3 linked regions of the Saccharomyces cerevisiae S288C genome follow. The main gene of each other region encodes a partner of the protein of the gene in region 3 in a complex. Links are inferred from orthologs where the notes say so. Each region holds a gene or a part of one and is shown on either strand. Other genes may lie near its edges. A codon is read from its position in the direction of its gene.

Region 1 (3,128 bases), on a different chromosome or scaffold from region 3:
ACGTTTACTGTGATGGTTCAAGTTTTGGAAACGGCACGTCATCTTCAAGGGCAGGTTATGGTGCATATTTTGAAGGAGCGCCAGAGGAAAATATTTCAGAACCCTTATTATCGGGAGCTCAAACTAATAATAGAGCTGAAATCGAAGCAGTATCAGAAGCTTTGAAGAAAATCTGGGAAAAGTTAACTAATGAAAAGGAAAAAGTAAATTATCAAATCAAAACTGATTCAGAGTACGTAACCAAATTATTAAATGACAGGTATATGACGTATGATAATAAAAAACTTGAAGGGCTACCTAATTCTGATTTAATTGTTCCTTTGGTGCAGAGGTTCGTTAAAGTTAAAAAGTACTATGAGTTGAATAAAGAGTGCTTCAAAAATAATGGTAAATTTCAGATTGAATGGGTAAAAGGACACGATGGTGATCCAGGAAATGAAATGGCAGATTTTCTGGCGAAGAAAGGAGCATCTAGACGATAATGCTGTTTTTTGCTTGGCTTCTTACTGGACCTGTTGTACCTGTAATAGAAATATATATTTTATATCTTTTGCATACATATACATACATCAGCTATTTGGTTTTTTAACTTACCCGATAACTATCTATAAGCGTGTCACCATGATATTTGCCTGAACCTCGTCCACAGTTGATTGTGTTTATTTTTACTTTTATTCATAGCTATTTGATTTCAGTTTCAGCTAAACGTTCAGCAAGATCATCTACTTGTACTTCTAGCAGTTCCTTTTCAAGCCTTTCCGTTTCAATTTCTTCGAGTTTTTCATCCTCGTCCTCGTCTTCCTCGTCCTCGCCTTCCTCATCTTCACTATCGACCTCTTCAAAATCGTCAACCTCTAAATCATCAAATTTGCTTTGGAGCAAATCTAAAGCATCAGAATCTTCATCTAATCTGTTACCATTTATTTCTAGCTTTTCCAATTCAGGTAAATTTCCCTTTTCCATAGCCGGTAAGAAGGATACTTCAATGGTTTCTTGAGCCATTTCATTATATTCGAATTTCAAGACATGCAAATTGGGGAATTTAACTTCGGTGAATACTTTAAAGACTTCATCTGAACCAGCAGTTTTCAAAAGACAGTCGTTCAAATTCAATTCAAATAAACTATCCTTCCATGTAGGCAAGGCCTTAGCAAGGATCAAAGAAGCATGTTTCGTGAAAGTATTGTCTTGAAGATCCAAGATTTCCAAGTTTTTCAAGTACTGTAAACCGTAATGAATTAGCGTGGCGACACCTTTAGGCCTAATACCATTTTGGTACAGCTTTACGACTTTCAAACCTTCGGAGTGGCTTTTCAAACCCAGAGCTAAGTAGACTGCGGATCCATTCTCTAATCTATTTCTACCACAGATAAAAGTTTCCAAAAATGGTTTGGAAGCAGCTTTCTTATTTTGAGCGAGATGAAATAGGGCCTTACCAATCCTTTCACCAGCAAAAGGGCCCATACCATTGTTACTTAAGATCAAATGTTTGATATTCACGGCATGTGCAATGTAATCTTCTAGTAACTCGATTGTTCTTAGCCCAAACGCATTATCAGAAAGGTTCACAATCTCCAAGTGAGGACATTTCAACAGAACAGGCAATAAAAACTTCAACGAATCAACGACTTCGTCAACCAACCTCGAAGTGTATAAGTCAGCAAAATTTACTTCAACCAAAGATTCCCTGACCTGTGTATTTTCAGCGATGCATTTAGCTAATGCTTCCGAAGCTTCAGTACCGATTGTATTCCCTGAAAGGTCTAATTTGGTACAGGTTTTCAAAGCTGCCAATTCTTCCAGGTATGGTTTGATATCGTCACTGGTTGTTAACTTGAGTGCCTTCCCAGAGATGGAGTAAACTTGTTCTTCCTCGTGCTGAGGAACGAAGTGCAAGGTAGCCATAGCTAAAAATCTGTTTCGAAAGACAGCCTGTTAAAATGGCCTATATTCACCTTTTACCGTGATATTATGCCTTTGATCAATATCTTCCTAATAAATTTTTTTCCATTAATTGTCCCACAACGTGCATAGTGACATGCATTCCATGACCAAACTAAGAGCTTTAAATCAAAAGTAGAATTTGACATTATGAAACAACACGACAACAAGAAAAGACTAGAGGACTTCACAGACCATTATGAACGGCGGAGGCAAGAATGTTTTGAATAAAAACTCAGTGGGCTCAGTATCAGAAGTTGGTCCGGACTCAACACAAGAGGAAACGCCACGAGATGTCCGTCTTTTGCATCTGCTCCTCGCATCACAGTCGATTCATCAATATGAGGACCAAGTACCGCTACAATTGATGGATTTTGCACATAGGTACACACAAGGAGTCCTTAAGGACGCGTTGGTTTACAACGACTACGCTGGCAGTGGAAATTCTGCCGGCAGTGGATTAGGAGTAGAAGACATACGGCTTGCCATTGCAGCGAGAACACAATACCAATTTAAGCCTACGGCACCTAAGGAGCTCATGTTACAGTTAGCTGCGGAAAGAAACAAGAAGGCATTACCTCAAGTGATGGGTACGTGGGGTGTCAGGCTTCCCCCAGAAAAATATTGTCTCACAGCGAAGGAGTGGGACCTTGAGGACCCAAAGTCTATGTGAATGCACCGCTTATATATCATAAGTACACTAAATCAAGTTCTTCCGGAAGATGCGTCATGTAGAATGCATAATAGAGTAATATACACTAAATAATGCGCTAGTCGTGTATCGTGATCATGTTCTCTAATGTTCTTTTTCCTGCCTGCCCTTTCCTACATGGAAAGTTAGAGAAATGAGATCTACACGATAATGTAGTAACAAATGGACCCTTAAACATCTCAATTCATCTTCTTGAGAGCACTTTCCGCGCTGTATTGATTTTTAGAACGTGAAAAGGATAAACTGAAAACTTGAAGTCCTAACCATGTTGTCTCAAACCTCCATACCGGAAGTGAAAGAAGACGTGATAGGCTATGCGCTACACCAGAGGAGAGCCAGAGTGGGACAATTCCAAGACTTGGGTCCGCCTGATTTAATTACTTTGATCAAATCGTTACCTTCATCCTCGAGCACAACAACTGCTACTGCCTCCGCCAACGATAACGGAGCAACTTCAAACATCAATGGACAAGAT
Region 2 (3,754 bases), on a different chromosome or scaffold from region 3:
TAGTTGTGATGAACACCCAAATTTACCTCATTCTGGGATGGGTATAATCAAGGTGCAGTTTTTTCCTCGAGATTCAAAAAGCGATGGCAACAATGACCCCGTACCGGTGGACTTTTATTTTATCGAGTTAAATAATCTGAAGTCCATTGAACAGTTTGATAAAAGCATCTTTAAGAAGGAATCATGCGAGACCCCTATTGCACTTGTTCTGAAAAAACTAATTTCTGATACTAAATCCTTTTTCTTGCTAAACTTGAACGATTCAAAAAATGTCAATAAATTATTAACGATTTCAGAAGAAGTTCAAACACAACTTTGTAAAAGAAAGAAAAAGCTCACTTAAGCTCGGTCACATTATCGTCTTTCTTAACACAGCCATTTAGATATGAAACAAATAAGGTTTATAATCTTTCAATATAATTACAACATACCGCATACACACACTTTTTATACATCAATCTTCCGTTAAGATTCCTTTAATTAACCAATTTAATTCATGCCTTGTACCAACGTTTCTTTCATCCAAAGGCGTGAAAGTCGGCTTTTCATTTAAGAAGTCCGGCAAGTCGTCAATATTGCTCTTCATATCTACTAGTTCATCATCGTTAACTAGCCCTAAATTAGTTAACGCATAGTATGAACCTGAAGGTTCAACCAAATTCGGAAATATAGATAACGAATCATATATGTCTTCATTCGTTAATGATATCGTTCTGTTTTCATGTAACTCCTCATTAACTGCTTCGCCAGCCTTTGTAATGCTGCTCATTGATATGTCGCCAATATCGTCCTTGCTACTGTTATTGCCGTTATTAATACTTTTGGCTTCATCGGCACATTCATCCTCATTTTTATCATCATCTAACTGCTTAATTTTGGCATCGCGTTTATCAGCAGCCATTTCTGATACGGATTTATAAAGCCCACTCTCATTCAAATCATAATAATCTGAATATTTCTTCCTTCTATAACGAACTGTATCAATAGTAAACTCTATTATATTTTTTAGATATTGATCTAGGGCCAATGATATAAGCTCTACGCAACGTGCGTCCACTGTGCCGACTAACCCATGTTCTCTTGCTATACCAACCATTCTTAAGTAAAACGAATCCGTGTCTGGTAAAGAATGGCTTTCGCTCGCTAAAGGAACGTTGAATCCATTCATTATATCTTGTGACCATTCCAGCGGCGTTTTTAAATTATTGCTCTTGACACGCTTCAAACTTTCTGGATTGGTTACAATGGGAATTTTGGGTATATTATTTAATCTGGCTTGAAATACAGAGCAAAAAATGAAGCCTCTTTTGCCGGCCTCTTTCGTGATCATTTTAAGTCTATTTCGATCATTTAGAGGTAACGACATGACAATTTTTTTATAGACTTCAATTTGAGAGTTATGCTTATTGATTCTTTTTAGTTTATTGTTTGGATTGTTGCTTCCATTGCCAAATCCCCAAGAACTCTCATTACCGTTTCTCCCAAGAGGGTTTTCACGTAATGAATTAGCAAAAATCCCTAATAAAAGTTGGTTATGAAGTCGTACTAAACTATGGTGATGATTTGTATTTGATTTTTCTAAGCTTGCAGCGCTTGGTGAAAATACCAGCTCTAATTCATTAGAAAGTTCCTTTCTGGATAACTTCCCTAAAATGAAAAGACTGATGATCTGAGCATATTTCGTCCAGCTTTCTTTTCCCAATAGTGAGGTTAATTCTTCGATCATGGCACCCAAATCAATTCTCTGATTTGGTCCCTGAGGCTCCGCAGTTTCATTGTTACCATTGTTAGGCTCGGTATGATTACTGACGGCAGGACTACCAATTAGGCCCGGCTTCATATATGCATTCGTGGAAGCTGGCGAAGCAGCTGGATAAGTTGGCTGCAGAGGTTTAGGTGCTGGCGATTGTATAGCTGACATGATAGAAGAAATCAAAACTACTGGGCTTGTTTTCCCTATATTTTTATTGAATTTTTATTACCACTTATAGCTCAAAATTTATACTGTGGGAAAAATCACGTGCGAGAAAGTAAGCCCTATCCAATGATGATAACGAACAGACGAATGAAAAGAGCAACGATACTTTGTTAATCTGTTGTAAGTTCGATGTTCAAGGCACAAGTAGACAGAGACAATTTCGCGTTGCACCTACTTCTATCCTGAATTTTATCTTTTTTATTTTAACAAATTTATGTCACATCGTAACTTCAAGTTTCACTTTTTTTGTTCAAAATCGCAACCTGATAATGAAGAAAAAATGGGCGGGAATTACAGCTCGTGTTGAGTGATGATAATAAGAACGTATCTTTTTTTATTCCGTTATCTATATAATGTACATACCTAAGTAGTTAACACATTATCATTGCTATCATGACGTATTTTTAATGTTACAGTGGGAGAAACGTGTCAGCTTTTCTGCTTCAGCGTTCTATGAATCCGTCTATATTTTTTAAGTAATCAGTGTCCCATGAATGCGAATTAGAGTCGTAACTGTTATTTCCATTGTGGAATGGAGTCCTGTCCTATTGTCCTGTTGAAAAAATATTCGAACCAGCAGAAGTATCTTTTCTCTCGTTATTACGAAGGCTAAGCTGTAATAATAAATCATGTATTTCGGATTCATAATTGTCCCGCTGCATGTCCTTTTCTATTTGCAAATTGGTATATTTCAGCTCTAAATCGGATAGTCTTTGCTTCAATGTTTGTATTTCAAAGTTTTTCAAATCCTCCTCCTGATACAGCCGTTCCCTAGAAGTGGCCAGTTCAGCCTCATGACTGATCGTTTGATCAAGGACCTTTTTCAAACTCTTGTACTTCTGACCTAATGAATAATAATTTTCAAAGAGTGTCTTAGATTTCTTCAACTCGTTGACCAGTTCTGCTCTCATTTCCTCGTATGCTTGCTTATAAGTTTGCTCATTCCTGTGGAATTGCTCACGCTGCTCTCTAACATCCTCACACAAATCTTCCAGGTCTCTACTGTTCAAGTCCATTTGTGCAAAAAGATCAAAATATGCCTTTTTATACTCTCTATTCTTGTGGCAAGCATCTTCGTCCCGGACATAGTAATTGTCTATTTCATCACGTTTTGTTAAGGGAGATGGAAATTTGCCTGGTATATCTTTAACCGATAACTTATAGGGCGATCTTCTAACCTCATTAACTCCATCCTTGTTAAATAATTTCGAGAGCAAAGGGTCGTCTTCCTGAGGTGGTATAAAGGGTATCTGCGAATTGGAAAGCTCATTTATAGTTCTCCTTTTTGTGTGTAGTCTGTGACCAAATGTATCCGTAGGTTCGTTACGAAGTGGTTCTCTCGGTACTATCGGAGCAGGACTTCGTAAAGATCGTATTCTCTCTTTGCTGTGGTGGTCACCGTTAACAATTGAGTTAAAGCCGTTCTCGTTGTACTCTGGGAGTAACTCGTACTTCCTATGGAGCGTTGAATCCAGACCAGACCACGAATTTGACCTCGATAAGTTTGTACTCCTCCTGTTGGAGTCATTTCCAAACTTCATAGAAAAATTTGTGTCGTCTTGGGCATACCTAGATCGGTCTCTTCGTTCTTCCTGATCTTTATATTTCATTGAAGGTGATATGTCCGTACCAAACAGCGCATCCTTAGTCCATTTGAAAAGACCAAAAATGCCCCCTCCGCCCGTGTTGTCTTCCTGATTCATTGTTCAGTAGTCATTCGCCTCTATGCTCCTTCGAAGATTGACTTTTTTCGTTGTTTTGATTTCCTCGTCTTCA
Region 3 (3,754 bases):
GAAAACTAATCAAAGGTAAAAAAAAACATTGATGTTATGGACACTTTTTTTAATATTTAATAATAAAAACAAAATGAAAACAAGGAAAAAAAGTTTTTTTTTTTTTTAATTATGTATAATCTAAGTAAATAATATAGTATGAACACTTTAGATACAAAATATTAATTAATCAATTAATTTTAAAAAATTTCGCTTTATAGATACATATATAACAATGTGAACTATAACTTTAGGAATTTTTTCTGTGGAAGAGTGGAGAATGTGGGTAACATAATTATTTTTTTGTATTCAAGCTTGCAACATTGTTTCCATTGTTTTTTGCAGCTGCTACCTTATCTGATGTGATACTCTGCAATTTCTGGTTATAATTTTGAGAGGGATTCCATTTTCTTGTACTTCTTATTTCGTCTGCGGAATAACCAGGAATCCTAATATTCCAATTTCTCTCCAAATGTAACTGAATGTCTCTTGCCTCCAAATTGTCCGATTTTCTGTGTTTTGCCAATCTACAAGAAAAAGCTGTAACATTAGTAACAAAATCGTCGGCAAGATCCAATAGTAATTCCTCAACATCACCGTCAATGACAGTTTCACCGTCACCCTCATCAATTCCGACAGTCTTCACTAACTCTCTTAATTTACGCTTTGACATAACTCTCTGAGTATCCATTTCATAGGGTGGTAATTTAGTTGTTGCTGGTGTATTCAAAGCACTGGCATTCATAGCAGAACCTCCAGTTATTGTAGGTCTGTTGGATCTATAAGCTACCGGTGCTGGTGTTTTGGTAGATATATTTTCCGATATGGGTATGGCAGGCTCTGTTTGTTTGAATATTGCCGATTTGCTCGAACTTATATTATTCAACATAGATGCCGTTGCATTTACATTGGTTACCTTAGCTTTCGATTGTTCAGTCTGTGAAGTGTTAACATTGCCCCTGGGATTATTGGTGGCAGTTATTGTATTCTGCTGCTGCTGCTGCGATTTCAGTGCATCAGGGCCGGTTACAGAGGGTATTTCAGTAGAATTAGAACTAGAAATCTTTCTTTGGTTTTGACCCTGGCGTTGCTGTTGCTGTTGCTGTTGCTGTTGCTGCTGTTGCTGCTGCTGCTGCTGTTGTTGTTGTTGTTGTTGTACCCTTTGTTGCTGCACTCGTTGCTGTTGAGTGCTTTCTTGCAAGAATTTATGTAAAGCCGGATTGTGTCTTGCACACTCTACATAGAATGTTTTTTTACTGTTTTGATAATTATTGAACAGCTTGGTATACTCAATTTTTAGCACCTTCCAATCGTTAAGCAGTTCAATTTTCTTTTCTTGTAGCTGCTGCTTGGGCCCTTCGTCCGTCTGTTTATTTATTTCTTGTTCTAACCTATCAATATTTTGTTTCAAGTAGGTCTCTTTCTCCTTTATACTCGTATGACGGACTTGGAAATTCTGCCATAGCTTTTCATATTCTTGGTTCTCTTCCGGGGTGAGAACCTGTTTTATCATATTGCTAAATTTGTTACTGTTGTTTCTTGTCTGTTGTTGTTGTTGTTGTTGTTGCTGTGATGAATTAGGGACATTTTCAGTAGGAATAGAAGCTGGATTGCTTGAATTTGAATTTGAAGTATTATTGTAGGCTTGCGCAGCCTGTTGTCTTCTCCTATTCAGTGTAAGGGCATCATATACCTGTTTGATCTTTGCGGCTTGGAACATCAATTCCTTGCCCCTAGGAGTAGTTTCACCTACATTTCTTGCTTCAGTCAGTAATGTCCTGAACTTAGCGGCCATTTCTTGCAACTGTCTCGGTTGCAGTACCATATTTTGCTGAGCTCCTGTGATCGCATCAGCGTTACCAGTGCCCGTATTATTATTCGCATTAACACCAGAATTTTCTGGATTGGAAGACATTGTCGTATTTTATACACACACTGGCAAAGATTCGGTTATGATTCGAATGCTATTGGACAGTCTCCTGTCTTACACTAGCGAACCTATGCGCTATATATGCCCATTATTCATTTGCTCCGACTTAAGTCTAACACATTTTTTAACAAAATTCGCCGCGTATACTGCCCGGGTAATACAGCCAAAATCGTGATATTCATTTGATACGTTTACTTGCAAAGCTGTCATGAATCAAGATTGTACATTTATATACCATAAGGTGCTCTTCATATTCAACAATGCATTTAATTCATCCTCGCTACGCTTACTAGACCCTATTTACTAATTAAGACGGGATTCATACACATCGTTTTGCACGTAGAAAGTTACACGCGTTTTTTTTTTTTTGAAGTTGAAATTTCAGCTACGCATCGAGAAAGTTTATTTGGCAGTTTTCTTTTAAAGTTTTGAACCTGTTTCAATACCTTATTTCCTACCATCTTTCATTATTCAGATAATCACTTTTGGGAGAAATTTGGTTGGCGTCACTCGTTCTTGCTAAGAAATTGTAATTGGCTAAAAGTATCAACGAGAGAACAAGCTTTTGTCGTTATTCGCTTGAGCAAATACGTCAAAAATAAACGAAAAAGAAAGAGCTCTATGAAATTATCTGTCCTCACATTTGTCGTAGATGCATTACTTGTCTGCAGCTCAATAGTAGATGCCGGTGTTACAGATTTTCCATCCTTACCAAGTAATGAAGTCTATGTCAAAATGAATTTTCAGAAGAAATACGGCAGTTCATTTGAAAACGCTTTGGATGATACAAAAGGTAGAACGCGTTTGATGACAAGAGATGATGATTACGAGCTGGTGGAACTGACTAATCAAAACAGTTTTTATTCGGTGGAATTAGATATTGGCACCCCTCCTCAAAAAGTTACTGTGCTTGTCGACACTGGTTCTTCTGATCTATGGGTCACGGGTTCAGACAACCCATACTGTTCCACTAAAAAGAAGGATACCACTGGCTCATCCTTTAAACAAGTAAACAAGGATGCTTTGGCTAGCGTGGTTGAGAGTGTGTTTACTGAAATTAGCTACGACACCACTATAGTTACCAGCGAAGCCACTGCTACTTTTGATAGTACAGCTTCTACATCACAGTTAATTGACTGCGCTACATACGGGACATTTAATACCTCTAAGTCGTCTACATTCAACTCCAATAATACAGAATTTTCGATCGCCTATGGTGATACGACTTTTGCATCTGGTACCTGGGGCCATGATCAATTGAGCTTGAACGATTTGAACATTACGGGTTTATCATTTGCTGTAGCAAACGAAACAAACTCAACAGTTGGTGTCTTGGGTATTGGTTTGCCTGGCTTGGAGTCAACTTATTCTGGTGTTTCTCTCAGCTCTGTACAAAAAAGCTACACTTACAATAACTTTCCGATGGTGCTAAAGAATTCGGGTGTAATAAAATCAACAGCTTATTCTTTATTCGCAAATGATTCTGATTCGAAACATGGTACCATTTTGTTTGGCGCTGTGGATCATGGAAAATATGCGGGCGACCTATACACAATTCCCATCATTAATACTTTGCAGCATCGCGGCTACAAGGATCCAATTCAATTCCAAGTCACTTTACAAGGATTAGGTACGTCGAAAGGGGATAAAGAAGACAATCTGACAACCCTAACCACTACAAAGATCCCAGTCCTGCTAGATTCAGGTACGACCATATCGTATATGCCAACTGAGCTGGTAAAAATGCTTGCCGACCAGGTCGGAGCTACTTACTCTTCTGCATATGGTTACTACATAATGGATTGTATCAAAGAGATGGAAGAAGAGAGTAGCATCATCTTTGAT

The links.
Region 1: the proteins of TAF12 (region 3) and TAF9 are in contact, whole or in part, in a cryo-EM structure (PDB 6TB4), measured with the Komagataella phaffii proteins. The link is inferred for Saccharomyces cerevisiae S288C from one-to-one orthologs. Residues at the interface, in XP_002491504.1 of Komagataella phaffii: Phe543, Arg546, Leu547, His550, Arg551, Lys552, Arg559, Asp560, Leu563, Arg567, Asn568, Ser578, Asp579, Glu580, Ile581, Arg582, Arg585, Tyr593; in XP_002491029.1 of Komagataella phaffii: Tyr40, Gln48, Asp49, Thr51, Ile52, Tyr53, Ser54, Asp55, His56, Ala57, Ser65, Asn66, Asn69, Ala70, Gly71, Thr72, Glu79, Asp80, Leu83, Ala86, Ala87.
Region 2: the proteins of TAF12 (region 3) and HFI1 are in contact, whole or in part, in a cryo-EM structure (PDB 6T9I), measured with the Saccharomyces cerevisiae proteins. Residues at the interface, in NP_010429.1 of Saccharomyces cerevisiae: Lys417 (codon at 646), Lys419 (codon at 640), Leu420 (codon at 637), Leu423 (codon at 628), Val424 (codon at 625), Thr426 (codon at 619), Val427 (codon at 616), Gly428 (codon at 613), Gly432 (codon at 601), Asp433 (codon at 598), Gly434 (codon at 595), Glu435 (codon at 592), Thr436 (codon at 589), Val437 (codon at 586), Ile438 (codon at 583), Asp439 (codon at 580), Asp441 (codon at 574), Val442 (codon at 571), Glu444 (codon at 565), Leu445 (codon at 562), Leu446 (codon at 559), Leu447 (codon at 556), Asp448 (codon at 553), Leu449 (codon at 550), Ala450 (codon at 547), Asp451 (codon at 544), Asp452 (codon at 541), Phe453 (codon at 538), Val454 (codon at 535), Thr455 (codon at 532); in NP_015069.1 of Saccharomyces cerevisiae: Arg235 (codon at 1,219), Leu241 (codon at 1,201), Leu259 (codon at 1,147), Ala260 (codon at 1,144), Ser261 (codon at 1,141), His264 (codon at 1,132), Ser265 (codon at 1,129), Leu266 (codon at 1,126), Pro267 (codon at 1,123), Asp268 (codon at 1,120), Phe272 (codon at 1,108), Arg275 (codon at 1,099), Met276 (codon at 1,096), Ile279 (codon at 1,087), Ala280 (codon at 1,084), His283 (codon at 1,075), Gly284 (codon at 1,072), Leu285 (codon at 1,069), Val286 (codon at 1,066), Gly287 (codon at 1,063), Thr288 (codon at 1,060), Val289 (codon at 1,057), Asp290 (codon at 1,054), Arg292 (codon at 1,048), Cys293 (codon at 1,045), Glu295 (codon at 1,039), Leu296 (codon at 1,036), Ile297 (codon at 1,033), Leu299 (codon at 1,027), Ala300 (codon at 1,024).

The regions. Positions count from the first base shown.
Region 1 is NC_001145.3:740,831-743,958, forward strand, and holds TAF9 (chromatin modification protein), read left to right. Parts: upstream 1-2,140; coding exon 2,141-2,614; downstream 2,615-3,128. Other genes in the region: RNH1 (RNA-DNA hybrid ribonuclease), read left to right, coding at 1-482; GTPase-activating protein RNA1, read right to left, coding at 682-1,905; BCH1 (exomer complex subunit), read left to right, coding at 2,919-3,128. UniProt on the Saccharomyces cerevisiae protein: Functions as a component of both the DNA-binding general transcription initiation factor complex TFIID and the transcription coactivator SAGA complex.
Region 2 is NC_001148.4:67,652-71,405, reverse strand, and holds HFI1 (Hfi1p), read right to left. Parts: upstream 1,922-3,754; coding exon 455-1,921; downstream 1-454. Other genes in the region: VIK1 (Vik1p), read left to right, coding at 1-343; BBP1 (Bbp1p), read right to left, coding at 2,524-3,681. UniProt on the Saccharomyces cerevisiae protein: Component of the transcription coactivator SAGA complex. SAGA acts as a general cofactor required for essentially all RNA polymerase II transcription. At the promoters, SAGA is required for transcription pre-initiation complex (PIC) recruitment.
Region 3 is NC_001136.10:744,878-748,631, reverse strand, and holds TAF12 (Taf12p), read right to left. Parts: upstream 1,895-3,754; coding exon 275-1,894; downstream 1-274. Other genes in the region: DNA-binding transcription factor SWI5, read left to right, coding at 1-19; MKC7 (aspartyl protease), read left to right, coding at 2,531-3,754. UniProt on the Saccharomyces cerevisiae protein: Functions as a component of both the DNA-binding general transcription initiation factor complex TFIID and the transcription coactivator SAGA complex.